4 linked regions of the Pelodiscus sinensis genome follow. The protein of the gene in region 4 purifies or fractionates together with the protein of the main gene of each other region. This does not show direct contact. Links are inferred from orthologs where the notes say so. Each region holds a gene or a part of one and is shown on either strand. Other genes may lie near its edges. The genes, in order: CYFIP2, EPS8, putative protein BRICK1 and ABI1.

Region 1 (6,982 bases), on a different chromosome or scaffold from region 4:
CAGTGATGTGTCAGCGGGAGAGCAGCTCCCACCCAAGTAGCTTCCGCCACTCGCAGAGGTGGCTTTATTATGGCGACAGGAGAGCTCTCTTTCACATCGGCATAGAGCGTCTCCACCAGACATCTGTACAGCTGCAGGGCTGTATGCCTAGAAATGGCCTTTGTCGAAGAATAATCACAATTGCTGGGAGATGGCAAAAAATAGCTGGTATTAAATAGCCTCGTGTGAAATGAAATGTTGCACATAGACAAAGAAATATCACTGATTGCTAATCCCTTGAAGAGCAATTTCCTCTTTTTCTTGAAGACAGACAAGTTGATACATGCATATTATTATTATTACTACGAATTATTACATTGTTCCGCCTTTGACTCCTCAGTGGTCATGTTTGTTCCATGGACCCTCGCTTTGGAATCATAGAACCAGAGAGTTGGAAGAGACCTCAGGAGGTCATCAAGTCCAGTCCCCTGCCCAAAGCAGGACCAATCCCAACCAAATCAATCCAGCCAGGGCTTTGTCAAGCTGAGACTTAAAAACCTCTAGGGATGGAGACTCCACTACTTCCCTAGGGAACCCATCCCAGTGATTCCCCACCCACCTAGGGAAATTGTTTTTCCTAATATCCAACCTTGACCTCTCCCACTGCAACTTGAGACCATTGCTCCTTGTTCTGCCATCTGTCACTACTGAGAACAGCCTCTCTCCATCCTCTTTGGAATCTCCCTTGAGAAAGTTGAAGACTGCTATCAAATCCCCCCTCACTCTTCGCTTCTGCAGACTAAACAAGCCCAAATCCCACAGTCTCTACTCGTAGGTCATGTGCTCCATCCCCCTAATCATTTTGGTTGCCCTCTGCCGGACCCTCTCCAATGCATCCACATCCTTTCTATAGTGGGGGGCCCAGAACTGGACACAATACTCCAGTTGTGGGCTCACCAGAGCTGAATAAAGGGGAATAATCACTTCTCTAGATGTGCTGGCCATGCTCCTCCTAATGCAACCTAATATGCCATTCGCCTTCTTGGCTACAAGGGCGCCCTGTTGACTCATAACCAGCTTCTCATCCACTGGAATCCCCGGGTCCTTTTCTACTGAACTGGTACTTAGCCAGTCCATCCCCAGCCTGTAACAGTGCCTGGGATTCTTCCATTCCAAGGGCAGGACTCTGCACTTGTCCTTGTTGAACCTAATCAGATTTCAAGGCATCAGCTGATTACATAAACGTTGCTAACAAAAATCAGCCGTATATATTAGGGCTAAATTCCTGTCTGAGGAATGACGCTGGATTTACACTGAAAGTGGACAGCAGAATTTGGCTCCAGGAATCTACCAAGGTGACTGGCATCTGGCAGCCCTCCTAATGTAAAACTTGGACATGTTTTTTTTTAGTTTCCTGGGCTGAGCAGGAAGTGTCCAACGGTTTAACGACCTGACACAATTACGGGAGACCCCTGTGATCCAAGAAACACAGCTAGAAACAAACCACCATGCTGAAAGCAACGGCTGGCTAGGAGGGCCGAGCTATGCAATATCCTGTTCCTTGCCAAACTACAAACGTGTGTCTGTAAATGCCAGTCCCCTCTCCTCCCCCACCAAAAAACCAAACCCCAGCAAATACACAGGAGCAAGCACAAAGGTTTCCACTTGTCTCTCACTGGTCAATCCTGATTCCTCGGGACATGGACGTTTCCTGCCAAATCCATTCCCTTCTTTTTACTCAGGGCCTGTCTGGCACCAGACTGGGAGTGAACGTGCCTCTCCTTCTTTCAAGCCCACTCAAACGTCCTGGGTTCGAAAGTTCACCTCCAGCGTGATGGGTGGGCCCCCCTCTTGTTTTGAAAACGTCTCACCGCTGAAAAGTGGCCGTGAGTTTAAATGACAGGAGAGAAAAACTGGTCTGCAACCGCTGTGGGATATGTGGCTTTGCAGACTTCCAAGCCTGTATTTTTGGTTCCTCACTCAAGCCAGCCAAAGTTCAAGTCCCTAATTTCCACCCTCAACGCAAACTGCAACCGCGTCTGCCTCCTCCCCTGCCAGCAGAACCAGGGGGGCACTTTTGATTCTGTTCTGTTCACTGTGTGCGCCTTCACCTCTGCGAGCCACTTGCGCCTTTTATTTTCTGCCCGGGCTCTGTGGCCACGCTGGCTGTGTACCCCGCCGTCCATTTCCCTTTGGGCCGCCCCATTGTTCTTCCACACCCATGTCCTCGTGTCCACGCAGCACGGCTCCGATATGGGCTCGAATTAAACGCTGCCCTTCTGGCCAACTCCTGGCAATGAGGGGAAGCGGCTGCGGTGGGAGGCTGCTGGCTCCCCCAGACTGCAGCCTCCTGCCAGCCCCTCACTCTAAGCTCATCCCATTTGCTGCAGAGGGGAAGGGGGGGGGGGGGAATTGGGCCCTTTAGGCTGCCTGGCGGGTGCACTAGAATAAACAAGGAGGCTCTGGATAAGCCCGCAGCATGCTGGGATCGCTCATCCTGCAACAGCCCCTGCGCTAAGCTGGGCCCCGCAGCGCTCTGTGGCTCGCAGGGCGCAGCTGCACCTGCCCGCGGTGCTTTGCATGGGGACCCCGCACCCCAGGGCCCGTGCAAGCCCGGGGAGGGGGGGCTGCGAGGCACCCCAGGCAAAGCCGGGCAGGGCTCCATGCGGGGCCGGGGGCTGCCTGCCTGGGCGAGCTGTCATGGCCCGGGGCCAAGCGCCCCCCCAGCGGCCGGGATCCCCCTGTTGCGCGGTTCCAGCCCGGGCAGGGCGCAGCGAAGCGGCACCGGCCGTGCCCAGCCCGGTGCTCCCCGGGCCGCCCGGCGCCCCCTGCCCGCGGCGCCCCCAGCCCGGCCGGGCCCCGCCGCTTACCGGCCGCGAGAGGATGCTCCGAGCCGCAGCCGCCTGCGCCGCGATCGGTGTCAGACACACAAAGAGCAGGAAATGGAGCAGCAAGTGCACTTCCTGCGCTGCGCGCCCGCTGCGCGCCCCGCCCGCCTGCGGGATGCTCCGTGCGCCCGCGCCGCGCCGCGCTGCGGGGATGGAGCGACTGGTCCCGCCCTGCGCGCCCCTCCTGCCACGCACACCCGGCACCCACCCACCGCCCTCCCCCTGCACCCACACCCTCCGTCAGCTCACACCCGGCACCCACCCAGCGCCCTCCCCCTGCACCCACACCCCTCCGTCAGCTCACACCCGGCACCCACCCAGCGCCCTCCCCCTGCACCCACACCCTCCGTCAGCTCACACCCGGCACCCACCCAGCGCCCTCCCCCTGCACCCACACCCTCCGTCAGCTCACACCCGGCACCCACCCACCGCCCTCCCCCTGCACCCACACCCTCCGTCAGCTCACACCCGGCACCCACCCAGCGCCCTCCCCCTGCACCCACACCCTCCGTCAGCTCACACCCTGCACCCACCCACCGCCCTCCCCCTGCACCCACACCCCTCCGTCAGCTCACACCCGGCACCCACCCACCGCCCTCCCCCTGCACCCACACCCCTCCGTCAGCTCACACCCGGCACCCACCCAGCGCCCTCCCCCTGCACCCACACCCTCCGTCAGCTCACACCCTGCACCCACACCCCTCTGTCAGCTCACACCCTGCACCCACCCACCGCCCTCCTCCTTCACCCACACCCCTCCGTCAGCTCACACCCTGCACCCACACCCCTCTGTCAGCTCACACCCTGAACCCACCCACCGCCCTCCTCCTTCACCCACACCCCTCCGTCAGCTCACACCCTGCACCCACCCACCGCCCTCCCTCTGCACCCACACCCCTCCGTCAGCTCACACCCTGCACCCACCCAGCGCCCTCCTCCTGCACCCACACCCCTCCATCAGCTCACACCCTGCACCCACACCCCTCCATCAGCTCACACCCTGCACCCACCCAGCGCCCTCCTCCTGCACCCACACCCCTCCGTCAGCTCACACCCTGCACCCACCCACCGCCCTCCCCCTGCACCCACACCCCTCCGTCAGCTCACACCCTGCACCCACCCACCGCCCTCCCCCTGCACCCACACCCCTCCGTCAGCTCACACCCTGCACCCACCCAGCGCTCTCCCCCTGCACCCACACCCCTCCGTCAGCTCACACCCTGCACCCACCCACCCTCCTCCCCCTGCACCCACACCCCTCCGTCAGTTCACACCCTGCACCCATCCAGCGCCCTCCCCCTGCACCCACACCCCTCCGTCAGTTCACACCCTGCACCCACCCAGCGCTCTCCCCCTGCACCCACACCCCTCCGTCAGCTCACACCCTGCACCCACCCACACCCCTCCGTCAGCTCACATCCTACTGCCACCCACCCACCGCCCTCCCCCTGCACCCACACCCTGCGAGGCTGATCTGAGGAATAGAAAATCTTCCCTCTGTGGAGACACAAACAACTGGGCTTGTTTGGCCTGATCTGAAGAAGGTGGAGGGAAGATCTGAGCGCTCTCTCTAAATACACCCAAGGGAAACATACCAGGGAGGGAGAGGAGGGATTTCAGTTATGCGCCAGTGTGGCCACAAGAACAAATGGATAGATACAGGCCTCCAACAAGTCTGGGCTTGAAATAGAATCACAGAACTGGAAGGGACCTCGAGAGGTCATCGAGTCCAGTTCCCTGCCCTCGTGGCAGGACCAGGCGCCATCTAGATCAGCCCTGACAGGTGTCTGTCTAACCTGCTCTCAAATATCTCCAGAGATGGAGATTCCACAACCTCCCTGGGCAATTTATTCCAGTGTTTAACCACCCTGACAGGGAGCTTTTCCTCATGTCCTACCTAAACCTCCCTTGCTGCAATTTAAGCCCATTGCTTCTTGTCCGATCCTCCGAGGCCAAGGAGAACAATTTTTCTCCCTTCTCCTTGTTGCACTCTTTTAGGTACTTGAAACTGCTACCATGTCCCCTCTCAGTTTTCTCTTTTATAAACTAAACAAGCCCAATTCTTTCAGTCTTCTCTCTTTGCTCCTGTCCTCTAGAACTTTCATCGTATTTGTTGCTCTTCTCTGGACCCTCCCCAATTTCTCCACAGCTTTCCTGAAAAGCGGTGCCCAGAACTGGACACAGTCCTCCAACTGAGGCCTAGTCAGCGCAGAGCAGAGCGGAAGAAGGACTTCTCGTGTCTTGCTCACAACACTCCTGTGAAAGCCGCCCAGAATCAGGTTTTATTTTTTTGCAATCTGATGAAGGTTTCTGTCCATACGAGGAGGAAGTTCTAGCACAGCCTTCCAAGGGGAGTTGTGGGGGCAAACATTCGAGCTGGCTTCCAGTACTAAGTAGGATACGTTTATGGAGGGAATGGGATACTGGCAACAAGGCCCAATGGGTAGAATTTGAAGCTAGACAAATGAGTACACAAAATAAGGTGGAAGGCGGTAACAGAGGGGGGATTTATCCTCTGGAGCAAGTTTCCAAGGGGTGTTGGGGAGTGTCCTGCTCTGGAAATCTTTAAGTGAAATGTGGATGTTTTTCTATGCCCGTACGGTCACAGCTAGTGGACTTGGAACAGTAATAAGCCAGGGAAGTTCTGTGGCCTGATTCATACAGGAGGTTGCACTGGGTCAGGGGTGGCCAACCAGATAGAGACAAAGAGCCAAAATAGCTGTGGATAGAGTGTGAAGAGCCATGTATTATATATTTAGTTGTATTGATGGGGGGGATGTATGGGGATGGGGGGGTATAGACAATTTGAAGTGCCTGTTTCCCTCTAGCTTGTTGATCTCTGGTATGGTTTACTCGTTTTTTTACTTATGAAGATGATGGCTTTTTTCTAGTCCTAAAAATTCAATCTGTCCCAGACTGCAAATCTGAGAGGTTCAAAACAATATGGGAGAGACCCACATCTCAGAATAATGGCTTCAGCCTGGCAAACAATCGCCTCTGAATTTTCTTTAAAGAAACCCAGTGTAAACTAGGTACATGCTGATTCTTTTTTTGCCCTGGGATTTAAATATGACATCTGTGTTGGCTGCCTTATTCTGCATCCATGAGGACTTTCAGTTTAAGGTGTTTCAGCCCCCCTGCTCTAACCCAATCCCCCCTCTCCCTCAGAGCCAGGCATCCCCCAGCCTCCCTGCAATAACCCAATGTCCTCGTCCTCCCCCAGAGCCAGGCACGCCTCTCCCCCCACTCTAACCCCATCCCCCTCACCTCCCCCAGAGCCCGGCACCCACAGTCCCCCTCTTCCCCCTGCTCTAACCCAATGCCTGGGTCCTGGAGCTGCTGCCACCATGCGCTTCTCCCTCCAGGCACTGGGGCACGTGTGCAGAGGGGCCGGCCGGGAGCAGTCTGGGCGTGCAAGAGCCACTTTTCTTTAAGCAAAGAGCCGCATGCAGCTCGGGAGCCGCAGGTTGGCCACCGCTGCACTAGATGATCACCGGGGCTCCTCCAGTCTTAAAATCTAGGACACTCTGGGCACAAAGTTTTAAAAGGATAGCGCTCAATGAAGTGGCCGTTCAAGCAAAACTGTGTTGGGTAAGGGGCTGATCTCAGGCTGGTTCTTTGCCTAAAAATTAGCCCCACCGTTGGGAAGCTGGCTGCCGAAAAGCCAGTGCTGGCGTGATCCATGTCTTTCAAAGCCTGTGACGTGAAGTCAGGCATCCATGATGTTCGGGCGCCCACGTGTGAGCTCGGTAGTTCCCAGAGCTGCTTGGCATCTGCCAAGGGCTGCTCATTTCTAGGCGAGCATCGTGGGAGGGTCGACAGAGGGGGCAGAACGCAAAGAGATCCCCTTTCGTCTCATACACAAATGCGCAACGTTGCTCCGCCTGGAGTTGTGGTCTGACTAGCGTGACTGTCTGCTAGAGCGGGGGTTCTAAACGTTTTGGCCTGCAGCCCACCCCACCCAATGACAGCCTTTCCACGGACCGCCAGCCAACCACCCAGATGACAAAAAGAGTGCAGGAGCGGGTGGGGGTGCGAGGTTGGGGTGGGAGCGGGCTGGGGATGGGGGTCAGGCTGCGAAGTTGGATGCAGGAGCAGGCTGGGAATGGGGAGTC
Region 2 (7,038 bases), on a different chromosome or scaffold from region 4:
GTATGTAGATAGAATGGGACTTAAAGAAATCATTGCTATGGTATTTGTATTCCTTATTTATTGGAACTGTTTCATAGGCTGACTTTATCCAGATTTAAATACATTTGTTTATTTGAAGTTCATCACTTCGAACTACATCTCATGATGAACGCGATCACTTTTAAAAGGGATGGCGATTGGCAGTAGTGGTTCGCAGTCATGTTTTAATTGAACCCACATGCCAGTGACCCTCTAGAACTGAAAGTTTGACTGTTAAGACTCTGGTTGTACTACATGTGTGCTCTGGCACTGTTAAAATATTACTCCTCTTTGCAGGTCAAAGGAAATTCTGATGAACTTGAGCAGGCATTAGGGATGCTGCCATTTTCTCCTCCTTGGCACAAAATGGAATTTTTGCTTTTACAGTATGAGGGGACAGCTGTACTAAATCACTCCCCCTCCCCCATATGTTGTATTCTTATTATATGGGTATGCCCTGGTATCTGGGCTGCAATAGCAACTCAAAGTAACTTTTTTAGAGACTACATCTCATGCTCTCTACTTGTCTTTCATCCTGGCCCTTAAGCGATCCCATATAAAGTTTGTCTGCCTGTGGTATCCTACATTAGATTAATATTCTTCAGAGACTAAGCTAAAGCAATAAAATTGGTTTACTTAAAACTGGATTGTAGAAGAAATGTGGCTTCTTTTCTGCTCCAAGCCACATGAGCCATGTCTTGTTTTCATTCAAAACTGTTAGGGGAATGAAATGTTTCTGCGGAGGCTACTTCACAATTTTATTTGAAGCAACCTTTGATTAAAACAAATGGCCAAATGAACATAGTGCACAGCGATGGCAGTAAGCGCCTTGCACAAATACTTTCATATAAAAGGGTTAGAATAATCAATAATTGACTTGTTAGGTGGCATAATAGATTCTAGAAAGAAAATTGTATCTAAACCTGTTGAAAGACAATTGCGGACGAGTCCAACGGGCAAAGTGATACCACTCCCAAGGCCTTGGTAGGAGGTGTAGGGGTGTGTGTGTGTGCGTGTGCTCGCATGCACGCGCCTCTCCCCCCATACCCTTTGGATAAGAGAGCTTATGTACAACAATCAGGTTTTTTTGAGGGGGAGGCAGCAAATATTTATTTTCATAATTTCACTTTTTTAAAAAGCTGGTTTTGAACAAGCAATTGTTAAATAATCCCTTCTGTACAAAATTCTTTATATATCAGTAATGGGATAGAAAGCCTTTTTATTTTTAGGTTGCTAGTTCAATTTCCAACTAGGAGCCCAATTCTGTATACAGAGCTCTATGCAGGTGTAAGTCTCTGCCAGAGCTCCCAGATCCTAGCCCAACAGGGATAGGAAAATATGCTTTGGTTTATATGGCCTGTGACAGTGTTGAAAGCTAACCGATATCCCAGCACTCTGGTCACTTAAGCTGATTATTTGCCCCCCAGAGAAGACTTGATTTAGGAATGAAGGACTTAATTACCTTAATCAGAATGTGAACTAAGATGGTTAGAAAGCACTGGAAGAAAGTGCAGAATGGGAAATGCTAGCAGAACTGAAGGAGCAAGCTGAGCACTCTCCATGGAGAGTGGGCTGACATCTGAAGAACGTTGTAGACAGAACTGTTGCTTGGACTGTGACGATAGTGGTAATATTAATAAACTACATAGAGGTGATAAACAAGTACAAAACTGTCTGGGATCACAGGACATGAGTGGAGCCTACGCTTTGCATGGTCTTGTCCACGCTAAGTAAATCAGTACCTCATTTTAAAGCAATGCTCTAATCTCTAATCTACGCTGGGTTCTCAAGCTGCTTTTTTTGGTTGGTCACTTTGTAATGAAAACCTGAGCTGGTTTCCAAGACCAGCGGTAAAATCACCATATTACAATCTCAGGGGCAGCTGCACCATTGCTGAAAAATGGATACTAATATTCCTAGTGGAGCTGCATCCCATAGTTGTCAATTTGGCAGCTGTCATCAACACTAAATCCATTGGAGCCAAAAAAAAAGGGAAAAATTAGTTGACTCTTTGCATTTCTGGATTGTATGCCAGGTAAATTAGTACAATCAAACCAATATTTTAAATCAAAGTGCCTAATTTGTACATTTCAGGGATTTTTAAAAATTATATAAGAGCAGCATCTCCGAGCATATATATATTGGCATGTATTTTGCTGTGTACCTGACAAAAAACTCCATGTTAATATGCTTCCATTTAGAGGAGAAAAATCATGCAGAGTGTATACAATGTTATACATAAAAGAAATTTTTGCAGTTGGACTGGATTTTTTCTACAGCTGACTCTGCTTTGCTGCTTTGATCCAATATTTCAACAGGGTTCAAATACAGTTATTAAGTGTCACACATTTTAACGTCCACTTAAAAGATCTGTATTATATATATAGAATTGGTAAATTAGTTGCAGATGCAGCGTAATTTTCCTTGACTACACAGTCTAATTTATTAAGAGATAAGTGTTTGTGTTTTGTTTCGAGATGGACTTTGAACTCTTCTTCCTTATTGGGTAGAATTTTCGGAACATGTCCTAAATGAACTCTCCAATTTTTAAGAAGAAGCTTCACATACAACCTCCGTGTTTTAATGGAGGTGTCACTGGTCTATGTGCATAAACCTTCTAGCACGGGGGGGCATGTTATAAGGAGCTTCATGGCACAGTGAAAGGCACAAAAATTCCCACTTCCTTCTACAAGTTGGGAGTTGGTTATATGATAGAATTTCCATATTTGGAGGCTGAGAGAGTGTACAACTGTGGCCTACTTATAAATTCTTCTGTGTTTTTCAAAAATCAGTGTGAAGAGAGATGCTATGCAAAAGTCACTCAGCGGGGGCACTGTCAAACATCCATTTAAAGAGCGTATCTGTCTCTAATAAACAGTATTATGAATGAGACTCTCGGTTTCTTGTCTGATCCATGTTATTTTTGGACATTTAGAATATGTCGTCACTGCATAGCTATTTCGGGATACCGAAGGTATCCCGAAATAGCTACCCCACATCTTCACAAGCCGCCCGTTCGAAATAACGAGCACTCTATTTTGGCATTCTGGCAACCATGCTTCCACGAAGGTTAAGGGATGTCTCCAAATAGGCTATTTCAAAATTTGGTATGTCTACACAGTGCCAAATTTTGAAATAACATGCTATTTCAAAATTCAATCAAAATAAGATTCGCAATCTCCATAGCTCAGATTGCGTATCTTATTTCAAGTTCAGGGTGCTTTGTAGACCCACCTTTAGTGATTTTTAGCTGTGTAGAGATTATATGAATTTATCTCTTTTGGCAATCCTTTTTTAGCACAAGTGAGGTTGCAGGATAGTGGTAAAAACTGGCTTCCTTATCAAGCAAGGCCAATGCTCCATCAGAGCTACGTGCCAGGGCAGTTTCAATATGGTCTCTTAGGAAGAGTAAATGGCTTAATTTTGGACAGTTGAATCAAAATAGCAACATGTCCATAAAAAGGAGTGAACAAAATCAACAATAAAGCATGAGCATGCGCATGAACTCCAGTGCTTGTCTTTGTAAACCATTCAGCTGAGAGGAGCTAACTAGAAAGCAAATGTTTTTAATGAAAAATTTTGAACAAATTTGTCCCCTCCTCTGGCAAATATTTTTAAAGTGAAATTTTTCATCCAGATATACCTTTGAACTTCCCAGGGCATCTTGTCTGCTTTGTCTCCTTTGATTTGATTGTGTGCGTGTGCTCTGTAGGATGCGGATTTATACAGTGCCAAGTACTCTGTCATGCTTAAGAAATAATGTTGAATGCAAAGTCTGGAAGATCCTCTTATAGACTTATTTAATGAGTTCCTGTAATATATTGCATATTCAGAAAATGCTGTGCTAATTATCAATAGTTAAAACTGTTAAAATGTGCTGAAAACACATTACAAACTTTTATTAAGGTTAAAAACATTGTAATACAGCCTTTAAATTTAAATATAGCTTATTTGAAAATGTGAATTGTCTTGAAATTGAAAAAAAAATTCCTTTAGGCAGCGTCGTGTAACCTGTGAAGAGGAGGGCAGGGAAAAAGCCAGGATTCCTGGATTCCATTTCTGTTGCTGTTACTAATTCATTGTGTGTACCTGCACTCTAAGACAATTTCTCAGTTCATCAAAATTAGCAGGTTGGTGAGATGAAATTATAAACCATAGTGTTTGTAAAACTCACTTTGATCCTACAATAAATGATTGACTTATGTAATACAAAGTATTAGTAATTATATATTAAATCAAAAAAGTAAAAACATCCTATGTTTCTGGTGCCTAGTATTTTCATAAGTTCATGATGTAAGTTCACTATAAGGTTGAACTGAGTTTTTTTTCCTTGCAAGTTTTAAAAGAGAAATAAACTTAAATCCACATAAATGAGGGAAAATTCCAACATTACCTATCCCCCATCATGACCTTAACAGAAGGGATACATGTTTGTTGAACTGCAATGAGTCTGCAGTTCAAAAAACTAGTCCTTTTACAAAACCGTTTGGTTGTTTAATGTGTGAAATTCTAAATTTTTCTATTGTACTTTAAATATATCCTAATAAATGTACTTTAAAGGCATGCTCCTAGAAGTGCAAAAACTATGAAACAATAAGATGTGATCTGTTTTAATTAAAAAGTCATGTAATTTCTGGTAATCTCAGCAGTTCTTGGGGGGGGGTGAGTTTAAATGTGAATTATAATGGTCTTTTGAATGAAAGTGTAATAGGCAGCAAATGACTTTGTAGTTTGTCAACAAATAGTACTGTTTCTTAGTTCACATTCTGATGGTGATAGAGTATTATAGGATGAACCTCTCTAGTCCAGTACCCTGGGGACCTGACTGGTGCCAAACCAGAGAATTTGCTGAACCGTAGGAGGTCAATATTGTCTAGCAGCATCACCTACACTTCCAGTGCTTGCTGGGTTTTTAGAAGTCGTGTAGGGGTGAATTAGAGCTAAATAAGAGCACAGATAAGTGGATCAGTGTAACTAAAATCATGCCGGACCATAGATATTGCTGGATTAGAGAGGTTCAACCTGTGTATTAACTCAGTTTGTATTATCACTTTTTATAACAGAAGCTGAAACTTTTTGCCAGCATTTGAAAACAAGAAAATTCCTTCCTGTGCTGTATTTATCTTGAAATTCTTCAGAGCAGGTTGGTCTATGTTATACATAAATATGTAGTCTGTATTCATAACATTCAGGATTCTTTAAAAGCATTAAGAGCTTCTTATGCCATTTACTTGCCCTCTCCCTCAGTTTTTCCAGAAATAATTAAGATAGTAAAATGATGGACTCATTATGCTGTTCCCCAACCATAATGCTCACATACTGATCTGTAACATTTAGGAAAATATCAGCTAACTCCGTCTTCCAAAAAGTGACCTTACCCATAGCCAGGGAATATGAGAGCAAGAGGTGCTTAAACATGTGTCATTCCATCTTTTCTTGACTAGAAACTTGAAAGTGTTTGGCCGTGTCTTTAGTGAATGTCAATTGGAACAACTGACAGTCAATTGACGTGAAATTTCCTGCAACATTCTTTGCAGAACTGGTGACACCTTGCTGGGTGAAATGTCACTGTTCTCAAATATCTGTGTATGTATGTATAAAAGGCACTGAGTGTGCAGAATTACAGAAACAGTCTCGTTAAGTGCAGCCCAACCTGCCGTGCTTGCCAGGATGGAAAATCTCCCCAACCAGCAGCCAGCGCAGGGAGTAATGGGAGGAGAAGGGGAGCAAAGTGGCTCAGTGATCTGGTACCTCCTTGAAGTTGGCACCCAAGGCAACTGTCCTGCCTACAACAAGCCCTTGTTATTAGAGATGTTAAAGGTTAAACAGTTACCCGATAAACATATGCCTTACCAGCATGTTTACTGGGTAACTGGGGGGGCTCACTATCCAGAGCAGCATCCTGACCAGCAAGGCCCCAGTAGCTCTGGATGCCAGGGCTGATGCAGTCCACAAAACCGGAGAAGCCCCCATCCTATAGTGCAATCGGGCTGGAGCAGCCCCCTGCCTGTGGCCAGTGGTTAACTGGTTAAACAAACAATTTACTGGTTAACTCTTTTGGACAATTTTTACATCCCCGTGGGTTGTATTGTATCATACCATGTAATAGTCAGTGCAGATGTATACATTCAGCCAGCTAAAGGTAATGTGTACATTTGTATTGTCAGTCATTTTATTTCTTTCCCTGTAAAATTGAATTGGGCAATGCAAATATGTGAAAGTGAAGAGGACCACTAATTAAGTAAAAGGTTAAAATGGCCAGCTGGAAATGGAGTCGTTGCATGTGGTAATTTGTTGGTGAATCCCCACTGTTGGGGGAAGAGGGAGAGGAGAAGCCATTACAGATTGTCGCTCAGTTGGCATCATTATGTCTGCTAAATTTTATTAACTGTTGTAGCTGGTGAATTTGCCATGGACTTTGCATTGAATAAAGATAGGCCCAGATCCCTTGGCCCCATGTTCAGCAGTTTGCTCTGCCAGGCAATGTAAAGTAGCTGGATACCTGGCTTATGAGGCACCTAGGGATGTCCTTGAAATAAAGACTCTTCAGTTTGCATATAGCAGGCAAGGCAAGATGGGGTATGGCCACAATGTGTTATATTTTACTACTCCCCAGACACTATTGGTGCTGATGTAACTTAGAGCAGCTGAATGGTAGATATACGCTTAGGTCAGAGACCAAACCTGCACCCTGGATTCTGTGCCAAATGTAGCTCCAGTATAAGTCTGGGATCTTGTCCATAATATTAGAAAGCTGTTGTTTGATCTAGAGTTTTTGGAGTTTGTAGACTCGGGATTTGTCAACAAACGGTGATCTATCTGGTTTAATAGTAGCTAGTGCTCAGTCACCATCTGATTCTGTGCTTGCGAACACATTGAACAAGAGCAAGAGTCTTATGATCACCATATAAAATGGGCACCAGGCACTATAGTGCTACTTCTGCATATCGATTTATATGGTTAGCACCAGGTAGATAGTTCTGACATCTTTTTAGGGAAAAGGGAACTCTGGTATCTTCA
Region 3 (6,456 bases), on a different chromosome or scaffold from region 4:
GTAGTGTTTTATACCGACAGTTATTTCCACATGGAAAGGGTAATACCCTGTACTGGTATTGGATACCTTTATATTAATACAACTGCACCCACTCTAGCATTACCACCAGTATAACTATTAACAACACCCCCTACTTGAAATAATTACACGGTTACAAAAATTGTGTGTAATCCAAGCCCTACATTAAAAATTGTACAAATGCAAAAAGGGGGTTTGGAAACAGCACAATGGCATGGAAATGTGAATGGAAAACAGAGTGACTAGGAAGAGAACTTCCAATTGGTTCTGAGATTTTTTTTCACCCTTTTGGTAAAGATTTTCATACCTCTACTCTATTAATACTAATGTAAATGAGCTGAAGATTAAAAAAATCTTTTGCAAAAGTGTATAGTAATGAGGGACTTGGAAGAGGAGAGAGAAGGTATGGCAGGCTGACATAAGGGCAGGTCGATTTAAGCCACGTTAGTGGCGTAACTCAAATCATTGTAGCTTAAATCAATTTACTGCATGGTCTCAACCATGCAGAATCAACAGAAGCCATTGACTCGTCTTATTCATCTCATTCTGGTGCAGAAGCCTCAACAGAAGAGTGTTTAACAGTAAATTTAGCGGGTCTTCACTCGACCACTAAATCAACCTCTGGTGGAACAATTGCTGTGGACAAGTCAAGACAAATTATTCCTAAACACCTCCCCTTTCTTATAAGGGGCTGCAGACAAATTGGCTTCACCTGGCATGAGGGGACTTGAAAGGCTTCTCTTAGGAAAGAAAGCGGCAATGGACTTTTATTTTAGTATAGCAACTTTACCTAAAGTGTGTGTTGGGAGAGAGAAACATTCTTAAAAGCTTGTGCCTTCGCAGCTATTTTCAGAAAGCTGGCTGGTTTGGAAAGGCATGTATGTGTTGCAAGCATACACTGAGATCAGTGTAGACACACTGCACTGGAGCTAACTACAGATGTCTGAAGCATATGTAAAGTTTTAAAAGTGACCCACGCTAATCTGTACATATACGATAATGAGGTTTCATGGGTACAACCCCCTTCATCTGAAGAAGTGGGCTGTACCCACGAAAGTTCATAATATCTTCATTTTTATAGTTTCTCAAGTGCTGTAGGACTATTCATTGTTTAAGGTCTTTTTAGTTACACACTAACATGCTAACCATCTGAAACTTTACAAATATATTAGCAACCTCAAATAATCTGATAATTAACTAGAGGTAAAGAAAAAACAAAACTTCGGACAAGCCCCAAAGTAACAGAAAATCATGTTTCAGGCCAAGTGGATAGGGAAATACAGGAGCATCCAGGCTGTTCTGAAGCTTTCCAGAGAACAAAATGCTTAAGTTTACCATAGAAAGTAAAGGAAAGCTTCAAAGATTTCAAGAGGGACTTACTGTGGTCAGCGCAGTAGGCAAAGTCAATGGAGAATTTGAGAGCACAGCGTGCAAAGGTATTTTTGTCCCTTCCGGCAAGAAAGCCAAAAAGCATGCAATGTCACTTTTGAACACGAGTGACTGAAGGAAGGCCAAGATCATGACATTTTGAGACAATCAAACCACTTTTCATACAAAGTGCTGCTGTAGCTGTGCTGGTCCCAGGATATTCGAGAGACATGTGGGTGAGGTAATATCTTCTATGGGGCTAATTTCCATTGGTGACTCGGTCCTATAAAAGATATTACTGCACCCCCTTGTGTGTCTCAAGCCACTCTATACTCAGGATTTGGCACTGATAGCGTGTAAGGAATATCTCTAGCTGCTTTAAGTCTGCCTGTCAGTGTGTGCAGACTTCTAGCTTGTGCAGTGATAAAGACAGTCCACAGGTTTGATAGATGCTGAACTTTGACTCCTCACAAAGATGCTTTTGCATCTGTAGAAGTGAGACATGGACTTCATGCAGAAGGCAGCTATTTCAAGGAATGTCTGGCTTGCTACAATTGGTTTAGCTCTTGTTGCAGCCTCCGTAGAGAGAAAGGCATTGCTGTAGTCAAAATGAGCAAGTCAGGACTTAGGCAGATCCTAAAAATTATAAATTTAAAAAACAACAAATAGTCTGGTAGCACTTTATAGACTAACGAAACATGTAGATGGTATCATGAGCCTGAAGAAGTGAGTTGTGCCCAGGAAAGCTCATAATACCATCTTCGTGTTTTGTTAGTCTGTACAGGATAAACTTAAAAAACAACAAATAAAACTATAAAGTGCTACCAGACCATTTGTTGTTTTTTAAGTTTATCCTGTACAGACTCTCTCGGCTACCCCCTGAAGGTCCTAAACATTATATCTAGGAAAAATTGGTAGGACTGGGAGGCATATAAATGTGTTAAGAAAACAAATAGGAGAGGGGCACTGAAGATACAAAGGTTGAGAAAGACAGGGGCAGCTAGAGCAATTGATGAGGGGGAAAGATTTTTGTCAATCTTGGATATTAAGTTATTACCCATCCTAAGCACTATAAACTTCCAAGTCTGTTTTTCTGAGAGTCAAAAAGTAAGATGACACAAATTCATCTTTTAAAAACCTATATTTTTACCTAAACATGAGATATGTTTTACCTGCTCTGTATTAGAAAACCATAAGTCTTTCATCCCATACCTAGATTTCTGTGACTAATCTAGTTCTTCCTGAAGCCTTTATAACTTCCAGTATGAAGAATTGAGGCTTAACGGGTCTAAAGTGACCCCCACTGCTCCTGACCTATCTACATACCCCCACAAAAAGTATCAGGGAAGAAAAATTCTAGAAGAAAAACAATAGCTGGGAACACAGTTAAAAAAAGACATTTTAAACACACCAAATATTGATTAATTTCATCCTTTATAATCACTGTTTACTTTGAGCAATAATTTAAATATCTTCCATGACAACTCACTGCTTAGGCACTGTACTAAAGTCTTGAGTTTCTCTCGAGTTTCTCACTTATTTTCATCTCATTCTGAAAGAAATGTTGATAATCAAAGAATATTGAGCAGCAACCGATTTTCAGCTATATTTAATGTCAGGATATTATGCTACTTGCAGCTGAAGTGCTTCCCCGCAGCTTTAACATTCAATTTTTATTTAAAACAGTACTCTGATATCCCCAACTCATATCTCTGGTCATCTGAAGAAGTGGGCCATGCCCACGAAAGCTCATGATCTCAACTACATGTTTCTTTAGTCTACAAAGTGCTACCAGACCATTGTTTTTTTTTTTTTTCTGTAACAGACTAACTCGGCTACCCCCATAAGCTCAAAAAAGCCTTTGTGAGCTTAGCTAGAGTTACTACAAAAGCCTAGGACTTATGTCACGAAATAAAATTATCTGTGTGGCAAATGCTGATGTTCCAAAGCATAGTAAGTGTAGGAGAGGTAATGAACACAGTTTCCACACAAGAAACAGCAACTTCCCACACCAACTGACATAGCAGATCTCACAGTGAACTCATAGTGCAGCACTAACCGTGCATTCACATGTGTAAGAGTGCGCACACATGTGTCACTCACAGGGCAGCTCCAGCTCACAGTGTGTGAGAGAGAGAGAGTGTGTGCGCGCGTGTCACTCACGGGGCAGCTCCAGCTCACCGTGTGTGTGTGTGTGTCTGTGTGTGTGTGTGTGTCACTCACGGGGCAGCTCCAGCTCACCGTGTGTGTGTGTCTGTGTGTGTGTGTGTGTGTGTGTCACTCACGGGGCAGCTCCAGCTCACCGTGTGTGTGTGTGTGTCTGTGTGTGTGTGTGTGTCACTCACGGGGCAGCTCCAGCTCACCGTGTGTGTGTGTGTGTCTGTGTGTGTGTGTGTGTGTGTGTGTGTGTGTGTGTGTGTGTCACTCCCGGGGCAGCTCCAGCTCAGTGTGCCCGTCTCTCTCTCGCAGGGCGTCGAGCCCAGCCCCTGCCGGCAGCCCCAGCCCCGTCGCGCCCAGGCCTGGCTCCCGCGCAGACTCAGCCCCCAGCCCCCGCGGCCTGGGCCGGCCCAGGAACCCGAGCTGGGGCTGCGGCCTTGGCGGGCTCTGCCCTCGCCCGGCCCGCAGGGACACGGTCTGAGGGGGGCCCGCCGCCCCGCCCCGCCCCGCTCCGCTCCCCCGGGCCCTGCCGCGCAGCGCGGTACCTGCAGGCCCGGCTCGCTGACGCCACTTCCTACTCCAGGGCCCCCGAGCTGCAGCAGCAGCAGCAAACGGCAACAGGCGCGGCAAGGCGTGCGCGCTCACGAAACAGCGCGTAGGCGCGCGCGGCCGCCAAGGGAGCCAATCATCGCCGTTGACGCAAAGGCTGCTGGGAAACAGAGCTATAAAAGCCCGGGAGCTATTTACGTTTTATGCCTCCCGAGTTTGCTGGAGTTCTTGCGCCTGCGCACTTGGGGCGAGGCGGGACAGGACTCAGTACTGGGCGGGGGGGTGTCTCATAGCAACGGGAGAGCGGGGGCGCTGCGCGCGCGCGTTGCTGTTGCCTTGTGCTTCGGGTCGGCGAGGGGCGGGGCCGTTCTCCCGCGCAGGCGCAGTGCGGGGCGGCCGCCATGTCGCTGCAGGAGGACCCGGTGCAGCGCGAGATCCACCAGGACTGGGCCAACCGCGAGTACATCGAGGTGATCACCAGCTCCATCAAGAAGATCGCGGACTTCCTCAACTCCTTCGGTGCGTGCCCCGCCCCGCCCCTCCGCCTGCTCCGGCCCCGCCCCCGCGCCCTCCCCGGCCCTCCTGGCCCCGCCCCCGCGGCCCAGCCCCTCCGGCCGCGCCCCCCGCGGCCCCTCCTGGCCCCGCGCCCGGCCCGGCCCCTCCCGCGGCCCTTCCGGCCCCGCCCCCACGGCCCCGGCCCTCCCACACCGGCCCTCCTCGCGGCCCTGCCCCGCCCCCAGCACTTCTGGCCCCGCCCCCACGGCCCCGCCCCTCCCACCCCGGCCCTCCTGGCCCGGCTCCTCCCACCCTGGCCCTCCTCGCGGCCCTGCCCCGCCCCCCTTGGCCCCGCCCCCGCTCTAACGGCCCCTTCTCCCGCAGACATGTCCTGCCGCTCCCGCCTCGCCACCCTCAACGAGAAGCTGACGGCGCTGGAGCGACGCATCGAGTACATCGAGGCCCGGGTGAGGGCGGGGCCGGGACCCTGCTGCGCCCGGCGCCCTCGCTGTGCCTGGGCCGTGTCCCCAGCCGCGCCGGCTCCTGCCTCCGCCCGGGGCTCCCTGCAGGGCTGGGGGGGGACCGGGAGCCCGGGAAGGGGGACGCCGGCCCGGGAGGAGCCTGGCCTGCGGGCTCCTCGTTCCCTTCCCCGGCCCCTCGCTGAGCAGGCTGTGCTCTCCTTTGCAGGTGACGAAGGGCGAAACGCTGACCTAGCTGCAGACGCCGGTGGGGAGCCGACCCGGAGAAGACCGGGCTGCTGCGCCGCAGCCGACTGTCGGGATCTGATTTCTTACTTCCTGCCATTGGCGGGACTTTGGCTTGTTTCTGCCCCGGTTGTCCTGCCTTGGGCGCGTGGCTCCAGGGCGACTCCAGAGAGAGTTGATAACATGCCAACGAGCACGTTGAATGCAGTAATTTTAGCCAGAGTCGTGCACCAGTTAACTCCTCAGCCCCTTCACCTCTCTCTCATTCCCCGCTATGCATGTAGAACTCCTCCTGCACTTTGTAACTGCAGCATCTCGCTGGCCACAGGTCTCTTTCCGGGAAGAAAACCTCTCTTGGAGCTGACCGGCTGAAGGCCTGATGTTTGGGAGCCACCCCGCCGATGGTTTCGGTTCCTTTAGCAAGCGCTGCAACTTGTGTCTCTTAAGCAAAAACATCAAGCGCCTCCCTCCTTCCAGCCCGGGAGCAGAGCAGTAGATGTGCAGTGTCTGGATGGGGCAGGGAGATAGGTAATGTGCCAAGATCAGCTCTCTGGGCAGGGTGGGTTTCAGAGTTTTCTATGTCTTTTGTATTGTGTAGTGTCACATGGGGGGGTGTCTCCCGGTTGTGTTACCACAATAAACTGTCTCTGCTGACGGGGTCTGGGCTGATCTCTAGCTGGAGTGCACATCTGGATTTCCAGGGGGCGGGAGCAGGAGCGTGGCCATGGAGGGCAGATGGGCTAGAAGAGTCTGGTGCTATTACTATAAGAGGTGCAGCTGCTTTTTGCTATTCTTGTCTTCCTTCCTTGTACCTCCCCCAAAATGATCAGGGATCCTAGTTGTCTGTGGCTAACCCCCCACCCCCAAAAATAAATCTGGCCAAAGGGTTCTCTTTGTCTGCAAGGTCTGCTTCTGTTCCTCTCTACGTTCACAGATCTGGGGGCAGAGTTCCTCTGAGTTGTCTGCTATTCAGGGCTCTCTGCTTGGAGTCCATTTACAATTCCCTGGTTTTTGGCCTTTTGACACCTCATGCCTGTCCTTGCTTTTTGCCTTTGTTCTCCCCTGAGCTTGGTTGAGTCCTGTCTCCCTAGGCAGGGGCAGGGCTTTTAGGTGTGGAGTGGGCACAGAACTCAGGCCATTTTCCTGTAGCCATTAGGGATTTGAT
Region 4 (7,193 bases):
AACCAGTAAGCATCACCCTTAATGGATGGTGCATTTCAATTAACCCATGGAGGCAGGAGCAGCTCCCCATCTGCCACAGGCAGAGGGCTGCTCCAGCCCTATGGGTCCCAGCCCTTCCTGCAATAGGACCCATAGGGCTGGAACAACCACCTGCCTGTGGTGGTGAAGGTGGGAGACTCCATGCAATTGGGCTGGAGCAGCCCCTCCATCTGCCCATCCCTTTAAACCAGGCATGTCCAAAGTCCGGCCCGCGGGCCAATTGTGGCCCGTGTTCCGGTTTAATACGGCCCCCGCTTCCTCCCCCTCTCCCGGCTCCCCGGCGCTCTTTTGAACTGGCGCGCCCAGCGTGCCGCTTCCGGCCGCGCCGCCGCCGCCCATGGCCTCCGCGGTCCTAGAGCCTGCCCTGTAGGGCAGGTCCGCAGCCCTGCTCCCCCGCTCGGCTGCGGGTTCGCCCTGCCCCCGGGACGCCGTGAGGCCGGCGTGCCCTGTGCTCTCCACCCGCCTCCGACCCCGCGGGCCCTCCGCCTTGGGGCTGAGAGTGCGGGAACGGCCCTCACGCATGTTCACATCTTCAAATCTGGCCCTCTTTGAAAAAAGTTTGGACACCCCTGTTTTAAACCATTTAACTGGTTAAATATGTTTAGCTGGTTAACCAATTAAACGGGATTTTACATCCCTACTTTATACTATTCTAACTATAGAACAGATGGCTTTACACAACCACTAGGAAAATTGTTTTGCACTAAATGTCAATTTCTCATTTAGCACTTTTACTCAATTAGGCTAAAGCTGGACAGACTACATACTAGGTATAAAATCCACTAAACTACTACTTATTTATTCCCATTAGTTAATTCTGTTTCCTTGCAACAGGAATACACAGCTGTAGGAGGACAAAACTGTAAAATATACTGATTTGTGTACAGCTAGCCTTGATTCTTAAGGTGGTTCTTGGTTTGATGCGTTTCAAATGATCAATGAGGACATGTCTCTTAAAAAGATTTGAAAGCAACATGTAATGCCAGAAAGAGCTCTACAACTCTCCTGAAATAGAAAAAAGAGTTGACAGGTCAAAACATGTGCTGCAGTTACCACACTACTGTGTTTGTCATATTTCCCATGAGTAAACCCAAATGCAACCTCGCCTCTCTGAAGCATTTATATAACCAGCTTTTTTAGGGTGGAGCACGTAACTGAATAAGAACAGTTTAACCCTTATCGCCTGACACTGTGAGAAGGATTTATAGCCTTCTAAAACAAGTTCTGATTTGCTATTTGAATTTTAATTCAAATATCAAACAGCATTGCCTGACATGTCAGAAAAAAGTAATTTCACAAAGGGATGTTGAGGGATAGTTAAAGTTTGATAAAACCACTAAATTACTATCCCACTTGCACAAATAAAATAGTTGCTAGTTTCAGGCAAATGCTAAATATTAAAACATTAAAAGCTATATTAACTTTAAGTTACACCTAGCCCTAGGCAGTGATAGATTACAGTCAACAGGTTTACTTACATTGTAAGGAAAAGCCATAGTAAAAAAGCACAATTTTTAATTTCTCTTTCCTTAAGAAAGTTTTTCTGTGGACTACTTTGGGCATCTGGAAGGGCACTGTGTCCATTTCAGTTCACATGTATACATGCAATTATATCAATTATTTTCAGATGTATACAAAGATTACTATGAACATACTTTTCAAAGCCAAAATAAAAATGTACACACATGAGTTTTAAAAAGGGCTAAGGAAACTGAAGCAGCAAGATACAAGAACAAGTGCATTGGGGTGCACCTTGAGGCAAGAGACACCTGATTTAAAAATATTGCTATAGGATGTCTGAATTATGAAGCAAGCAGCTTTACTATCTCAGAAGGAGAAACTGCCATGCTGAAATAGCACATCATGTTTGCACATTACCGCCTATATACATGAGTACTGCTCATTGTAACAATTCAAAATCACCAGTACAGAATGCCAGGAATGCAATTCATGTATGTAGTTTTAAGTGAGAATTAGATGCCAACTATTAAAAAAAATCCACTGGGGGGGCAGGGCGACAGGGCGGGGGTGTCCCTTCTTTCTTCCCCAACATACAAACATATTTCTGCATTTGTCAGTCATTTGTATTTCAACACTCGCCACAGCCAGCATTTGCAAACCTCACACTTACATCCTTTCTGAAATTCACCTCTTTATACAACTAACAGGGAGAGAACACCCACCCCGGAAAGATGAAAAGGGCTGATGCCTATTACGTCTGTGCAACTGACTTAAGAACCCAGAACTTCAGGGTTTTTTTTTTTTTAAATGGTTAGTTTGATTATTGAAAATAACACTGTAGCCACTCCAAAGCCAAACGGCGGCGGGGGGGGGGGGGAGAGGGGGAGAAACGAAAGAGGAGGAGGAATTTGGTCTGACAGAGGCAGACTTTCAAGCGCTCAATCAGAGGCATATACAAATCCACCCTCTCCCCCATCTGGGCGCCGTGAGTCACAATAAAATAAATAATAAAAGAGACACACCCTCTGGGCTGAGCCGACAGAATCACCCCTCCCTGCTCACAAGCACAGGCGGCGTGGGGTGGGGGGAGTAAGAGGCACTGGGGCTAGAAAGTTGCAAGGCAGAGCGAAGAAGGGAGGGGGCGGAGGAACCGGGGCGCTGCGGCGGCGGCTGCCGGGCGATACAATGTATCGGCGGCGGCTCCTCCGGCTGTTGCAACATTCGGTGCCCACTTCCTGCACCCGCCAGTGCCGCCCTCCGCGCCCCGCCGGGCCGCCCTCACCTGGATGTAGTTGTTCTCGCAGTAGTCGGCCACCCGCGTGAGGTTCTGGTAGCTCTCGAGCAGCGCCCTCTTGCCCGAGGGGATCTCCTCCTCTAGCAGCATCTGCAGCTCTGCCATTTTCCTCCCCTCCGCATCGCTTCCTCTTGCATTAAAGAGACAGCGGCGGCGAGCCCACAACCCGCCTGGTATTGTGGGATTCCTCCTCGCCTCGCTTTCGTGAGGCCGCCCTGCTTTCCCCACCCACCCCGAAAATGCCCGTCGCACTGCATGCTGGGAGTTGTAGTCTGCTCCTCTCCAACCCCGCCCCCCTCCCCGCGGTATTTGGTTCTGGGAGTGGGCATGCGCCGGGGAAGCTGCAAGGTGTGGCTTGGGGTGGTTCTCTTCCCTTAGGCTGCGCCGTGGCTGAGCTCGGTGCTCGCTCCCACACGAGCAGTTTCTCACTAGAGGGAAAGCTGAGCTGTTAGTCCCACTCGTTTCACCGGCTTGGTTCAAAGCAGGATAGGGCTGGGCCAGCTGCAACTGAGGGAAATTAAACAGCATAGAGCCAGTTCCTCGGGGAGACCCGCTCTGCATTGCAACGGGGAGAGACAAAAGGCGTGACACTCAGTATTTAAACACCTTCTTCCCATCTACCCTGCCTCCCTGGATTATCCAGGCAGACCTTTCTCAGCGGCTGTAACAAACATTGAGATTGTCCACATATTAAAGACTTCTGAACGGCAGCCATTAACACTTTTCAGCATAACACTATTATTGCTCTTTTTTCTGGAATCAGTGTCCTGGTCTGACCTAGTGGTGCCCTTGTGCCACAAGATAGCAGATATCCTGGACCTGTACGTGGAGTTTCCAAATATAAGAGAAAGCAGTGATGTGAGATTTAGATATATTTTGATTAGAGAAAGCAGTCATATAGCACTTTAAAGGCTAACAAGATAGTTCATTAGGTGATGAGCTTTCGTGGAGCAGACCCACTTCTTCAGATCATACTCTGAAAGAGAATTGGTATGACCATTATGTAACAGAGGGATACAATGAAAAATGTAAACAAATTACAAACTAATGAATGGGCTACATAGAACAGAAGGTGGGGGCCAGGGGACACGGAAGGAGGAAATTGCTTATTAAGAGTTAATTAAGTGGCTAATCTGGACTTACTATGAATATCAAAAGGTGGGGAGGCTGTGTTTGTAATGTGTCAGGTAATTATCATCCATATTAAGGCCCATTCACAACCTGTCAAATTTTAGCATAAATAAAAGTTCTGAAGTCTCCCTCTGTAATCAGGTGTTAAAGTCTCTTTGTAGTAAGACGCATGTTGTCAGGTCTTTAAGGGAATGTCCAGTTTGATTAAAATGGTGGCTGATAGGTTTCTGTGTGTGGAGATGTCTGATGTCAGAACTTCAGCCTGCATTTTAATCAAACTGGCCATAGCATGCATGTCCAATAGCATGCAGATAATCATGGATTCTAGGAATCCAAGCCCAGCAACAGGTCCAATATCCAGTTGATTCCAAGGGAGCAATCTGGGCCTCAGGTATTTACTTTAGTCAGAGCTCAAGGCAAAGAGCCTCATACAGTTCCTTCTTTCCCCAATTGGCTTCTACACAGCAAAACCTCACATAACCCAACACTACCAACAATACAGCATGTCTTTACAAGATTCAAAATTTGCTTGTATGCCAAGGAGAATAATGTGGAAGAATATGTTTATAGGACCACTTGGTTATCATCTGCGTGACAGTGTGCTAGAGGCTAAAGAGCAAGCCAGCTGTCTTGTCACTTAGATGCCACTTAGTTCCCGAGAGAAAGCAGAGGGAGATAATTAGATAGGCTGACTGGGTGAGATAAGGAGTCAATTAGCCCATCAGCCCAAGTCTGATAGAGATGCACAGGAAGGAAGTGGTGGAAAGAGGCTAGTTGTGCTAAGTCACTTCTACATAGCAGAGCTAAACTCGAATTAAACTATGTAACTTCAGCTATGTCAATTGTGTAGCTGAAGTCGAAATAGCTTAATTTGCCTTTTGGCATAGTCTACACTGCAGGAAGTCGAAGGAAGAACACTTTTTCTTCAACTTCCCTCACTCTTCATGAAATGATGGTTACCATGAGTCAGAGTAATAAGTCCTCCAGCTCAACATTATTTTGAAATAAAGGCTTGTAGCATAGATGCACACTATGTTATTTGGGAATAACGCTGCTGTATAGATAGCCATAGAGGGCTCTGGGAAGGGAGATTTTTATTCCACTCAAGTCCAGAGGTGTGGGTCAAAAGCACTGCAGATATTGTAAACAGATTGTTGCATAGTGAGTGCTGTGGTGGCAGTGAAAGGAACTTAAAATGAACACGTACTACAAATGTGCAACCATTGAATTTTGCAGTTTCTTCACGGAAGACCCCACTTGCCACAACATTACTTCAGCCCCATTTGCAGACAGGGAAAACAAGGGCAAGTAACTCACTCAGTCTCACAAAGCAAGCCAACAGCAGAGTGCATGCATAGAGCACCTGCCCTGACTCCATGGGCAAATCTAGACTACCCTCAGCTTCAGAAAGAAGATATGCAAATTAGGTGTGAATTTGCATATCTTCTTCCAATCCCTTTTTCGGAAGAGGATTTTTGAAAAAAAAAAAAAGCAGTCTAGATGGGGTTTTTCACGCAAAAACCCCTTTTTCAAAAAAAACCTGTAAACCTAATTTTTTGAGGAATAAGGGTTCTTTTGAAAAAGGGAGGGTTTTGCATGAAAAACCCCATCTAGACTACTTTTTTTTTTTTAAATCCTCTTCCGAAAAAGGGATCGGAAGAAGATATGCAAATTCATACCTAATTTGCATATCTTTCGGAAGCCGAGGGGAGTCTAGACATGCCTCAAAGGTCATACTGAAAGAGAATAGAAAATGGTATCTTCAAGCTCTGCCCCTGGAGTTACGCTTGGGAGGAACATATATGGTCTCATGCCCCTCCTTAATATACCATGATTCCTGCATAGGATGCTGCCCAGTGCAGTGGCTGCATTCTCCCAGGTACCTGCTATGCTGCACTAGGCAGCATAGCCAGAGGCTGCCTGGGAGGAGGCACAGCGAGAAGGGGCGCTGCCCCACTAGGTAACATGCCAAGGAGATGAGGAGAGCTGGATCGGGGGTGGAAATAAGTCATATGGAGGTGGGGCTATGTGGGGAGATTTCATGGGGGTGGGAAGCCTACATTCCCCTTCAGCTGGTGCTCCCTTTGTGACCATTCCACTAATCAGCCCTGCTCTGTCCACAAAATGCTATCCTTGTGAGTTGTTTGCATGAGATTCTGCTCATAGTCGATCCTGTAGCTGTTTAAAACATGTTGATGTCATTAAGTTCTCTGAGTTCCATCTGGCTTCTTCATTTTGGCTCCCTCTCAGTGGGAGTTGCAGATACCTATGGGCTCATCCTTGGGCTTGGCTCATTTTTTATTGGCGGGAGAGGGGGGAGAGGAAGTAAGTGGTGCTATAGTGCAAACAGCACTCACTTGTGGCACCAAAATGAGACTTTACTCACAGTAATTTGTCCAGATCTGTGACCTTCTGTCTTCTTTCTTAGGCCTTGCCTGCAGTGGCAAGCTTTACCACTGGTGTGTAGTTACTAGGGATGTAAACTCCCGTTCAGTTGGTTACCTGATTACCAGTTAACCCATTAAAGAGGGCATGGGCAGAGGCTGCTCCAGCCTAGCCAGAGCAGTCCCTGCCTGCTGGGAGTTTGGGCCTACCACAGTCAGAGGCAGCTCAGATCATCCCCTATCCAAACAGGCTCCCTGTGGGGCTGGAGCAGACCCCTGCCCACAGCAGGAGGGGAGATGCTCCAGCCCCCACCAATTAACAGTTAACTGTAAACAGTAAGCATCACCGGTTAACCTTTCACATCCCAGCTATTAGTTACACGGGTATGACTTCCCCCCCATGTCAACTTATTCTGATATATGAGTGGTTTTGGCCTGTGTGCCTTGCGCGCTTGTGTGGCCACTCAGGATTCAAGTGCCACCCAGCTTATTAGCAGAGCACTCAGCTTTGTTCCTACGGTTGGTACATGTTTGCATATGCCTGGTACACACAGAAAAATGTATTCCGCGCATGGATAGAAAAATTTAGCGGGAACATTGGGTTTAGGGTTGCCAGCCACCCACCCACCCACACCAAACACACATCCTGTGTGGCTACTACCAAGAGCCACCAAGCTGGGAACAAAGCGGGAAGCAGCAGAGCCTGCTCTGCAAAAGCCGCTGTCTGCTACCCAAAGCAGAGAGGCTATGTCTACACTGGCGAGTTATTGCACAAGTACGGCCATTCTTGCGCAAGAATCCGCTGAGCATCTACACTGCCCACCCACTCTTGTGCAAGTAAATGTACAGTACGGCGTGATAAGAGACAGCTCCGTGCAGGCCTG

Evidence for each region.
Region 1: the proteins of ABI1 (region 4) and CYFIP2 purify together in Homo sapiens (co-immunoprecipitation; 4 studies listed by BioGRID and IntAct, with this or other methods). This does not show direct contact. The link is inferred for Pelodiscus sinensis from reciprocal best matches to the Homo sapiens genes ABI1 and CYFIP2.
Region 2: the proteins of ABI1 (region 4) and EPS8 purify together in Homo sapiens (affinity purification with western blotting; 4 studies listed by BioGRID, with this or other methods). This does not show direct contact. The link is inferred for Pelodiscus sinensis from reciprocal best matches to the Homo sapiens genes ABI1 and EPS8.
Region 3: the proteins of ABI1 (region 4) and putative protein BRICK1 purify together in Homo sapiens (co-immunoprecipitation; 3 studies listed by BioGRID and IntAct, with this or other methods). This does not show direct contact. The link is inferred for Pelodiscus sinensis from reciprocal best matches to the Homo sapiens genes ABI1 and BRK1.

The regions. Positions count from the first base shown.
Region 1 is NC_134727.1:39,281,879-39,288,860, reverse strand, and holds the start of CYFIP2 (cytoplasmic FMR1-interacting protein 2), read right to left. Parts: upstream 3,010-6,982; 5' UTR 2,850-3,009; intron 1-2,849. UniProt on the Homo sapiens protein: Involved in T-cell adhesion and p53/TP53-dependent induction of apoptosis. Does not bind RNA. As component of the WAVE1 complex, required for BDNF-NTRK2 endocytic trafficking and signaling from early endosomes.
Region 2 is NC_134711.1:112,321,673-112,328,710, reverse strand, and holds the start of EPS8 (epidermal growth factor receptor kinase substrate 8), read left to right. Parts: upstream 1-4,014; 5' UTR 4,015-4,148; intron 4,149-5,081; 5' UTR 5,082-5,161; intron 5,162-7,038. UniProt on the Homo sapiens protein: Signaling adapter that controls various cellular protrusions by regulating actin cytoskeleton dynamics and architecture. Depending on its association with other signal transducers, can regulate different processes.
Region 3 is NC_134721.1:46,503,344-46,509,799, reverse strand, and holds putative protein BRICK1, read left to right. Parts: upstream 1-4,363; 5' UTR 4,364-4,493; coding exon 4,494-4,611; intron 4,612-4,971; coding exon 4,972-5,054; intron 5,055-5,274; coding exon 5,275-5,301; 3' UTR 5,302-5,945; downstream 5,946-6,456. UniProt on the Homo sapiens protein: Involved in regulation of actin and microtubule organization. Part of a WAVE complex that activates the Arp2/3 complex. As component of the WAVE1 complex, required for BDNF-NTRK2 endocytic trafficking and signaling from early endosomes.
Region 4 is NC_134712.1:226,076,403-226,083,595, forward strand, and holds the start of ABI1 (abl interactor 1), read right to left. Parts: upstream 3,019-7,193; 5' UTR 2,900-3,018; coding exon 2,783-2,899; intron 1-2,782. UniProt on the Homo sapiens protein: May act in negative regulation of cell growth and transformation by interacting with nonreceptor tyrosine kinases ABL1 and/or ABL2. May play a role in regulation of EGF-induced Erk pathway activation. Involved in cytoskeletal reorganization and EGFR signaling.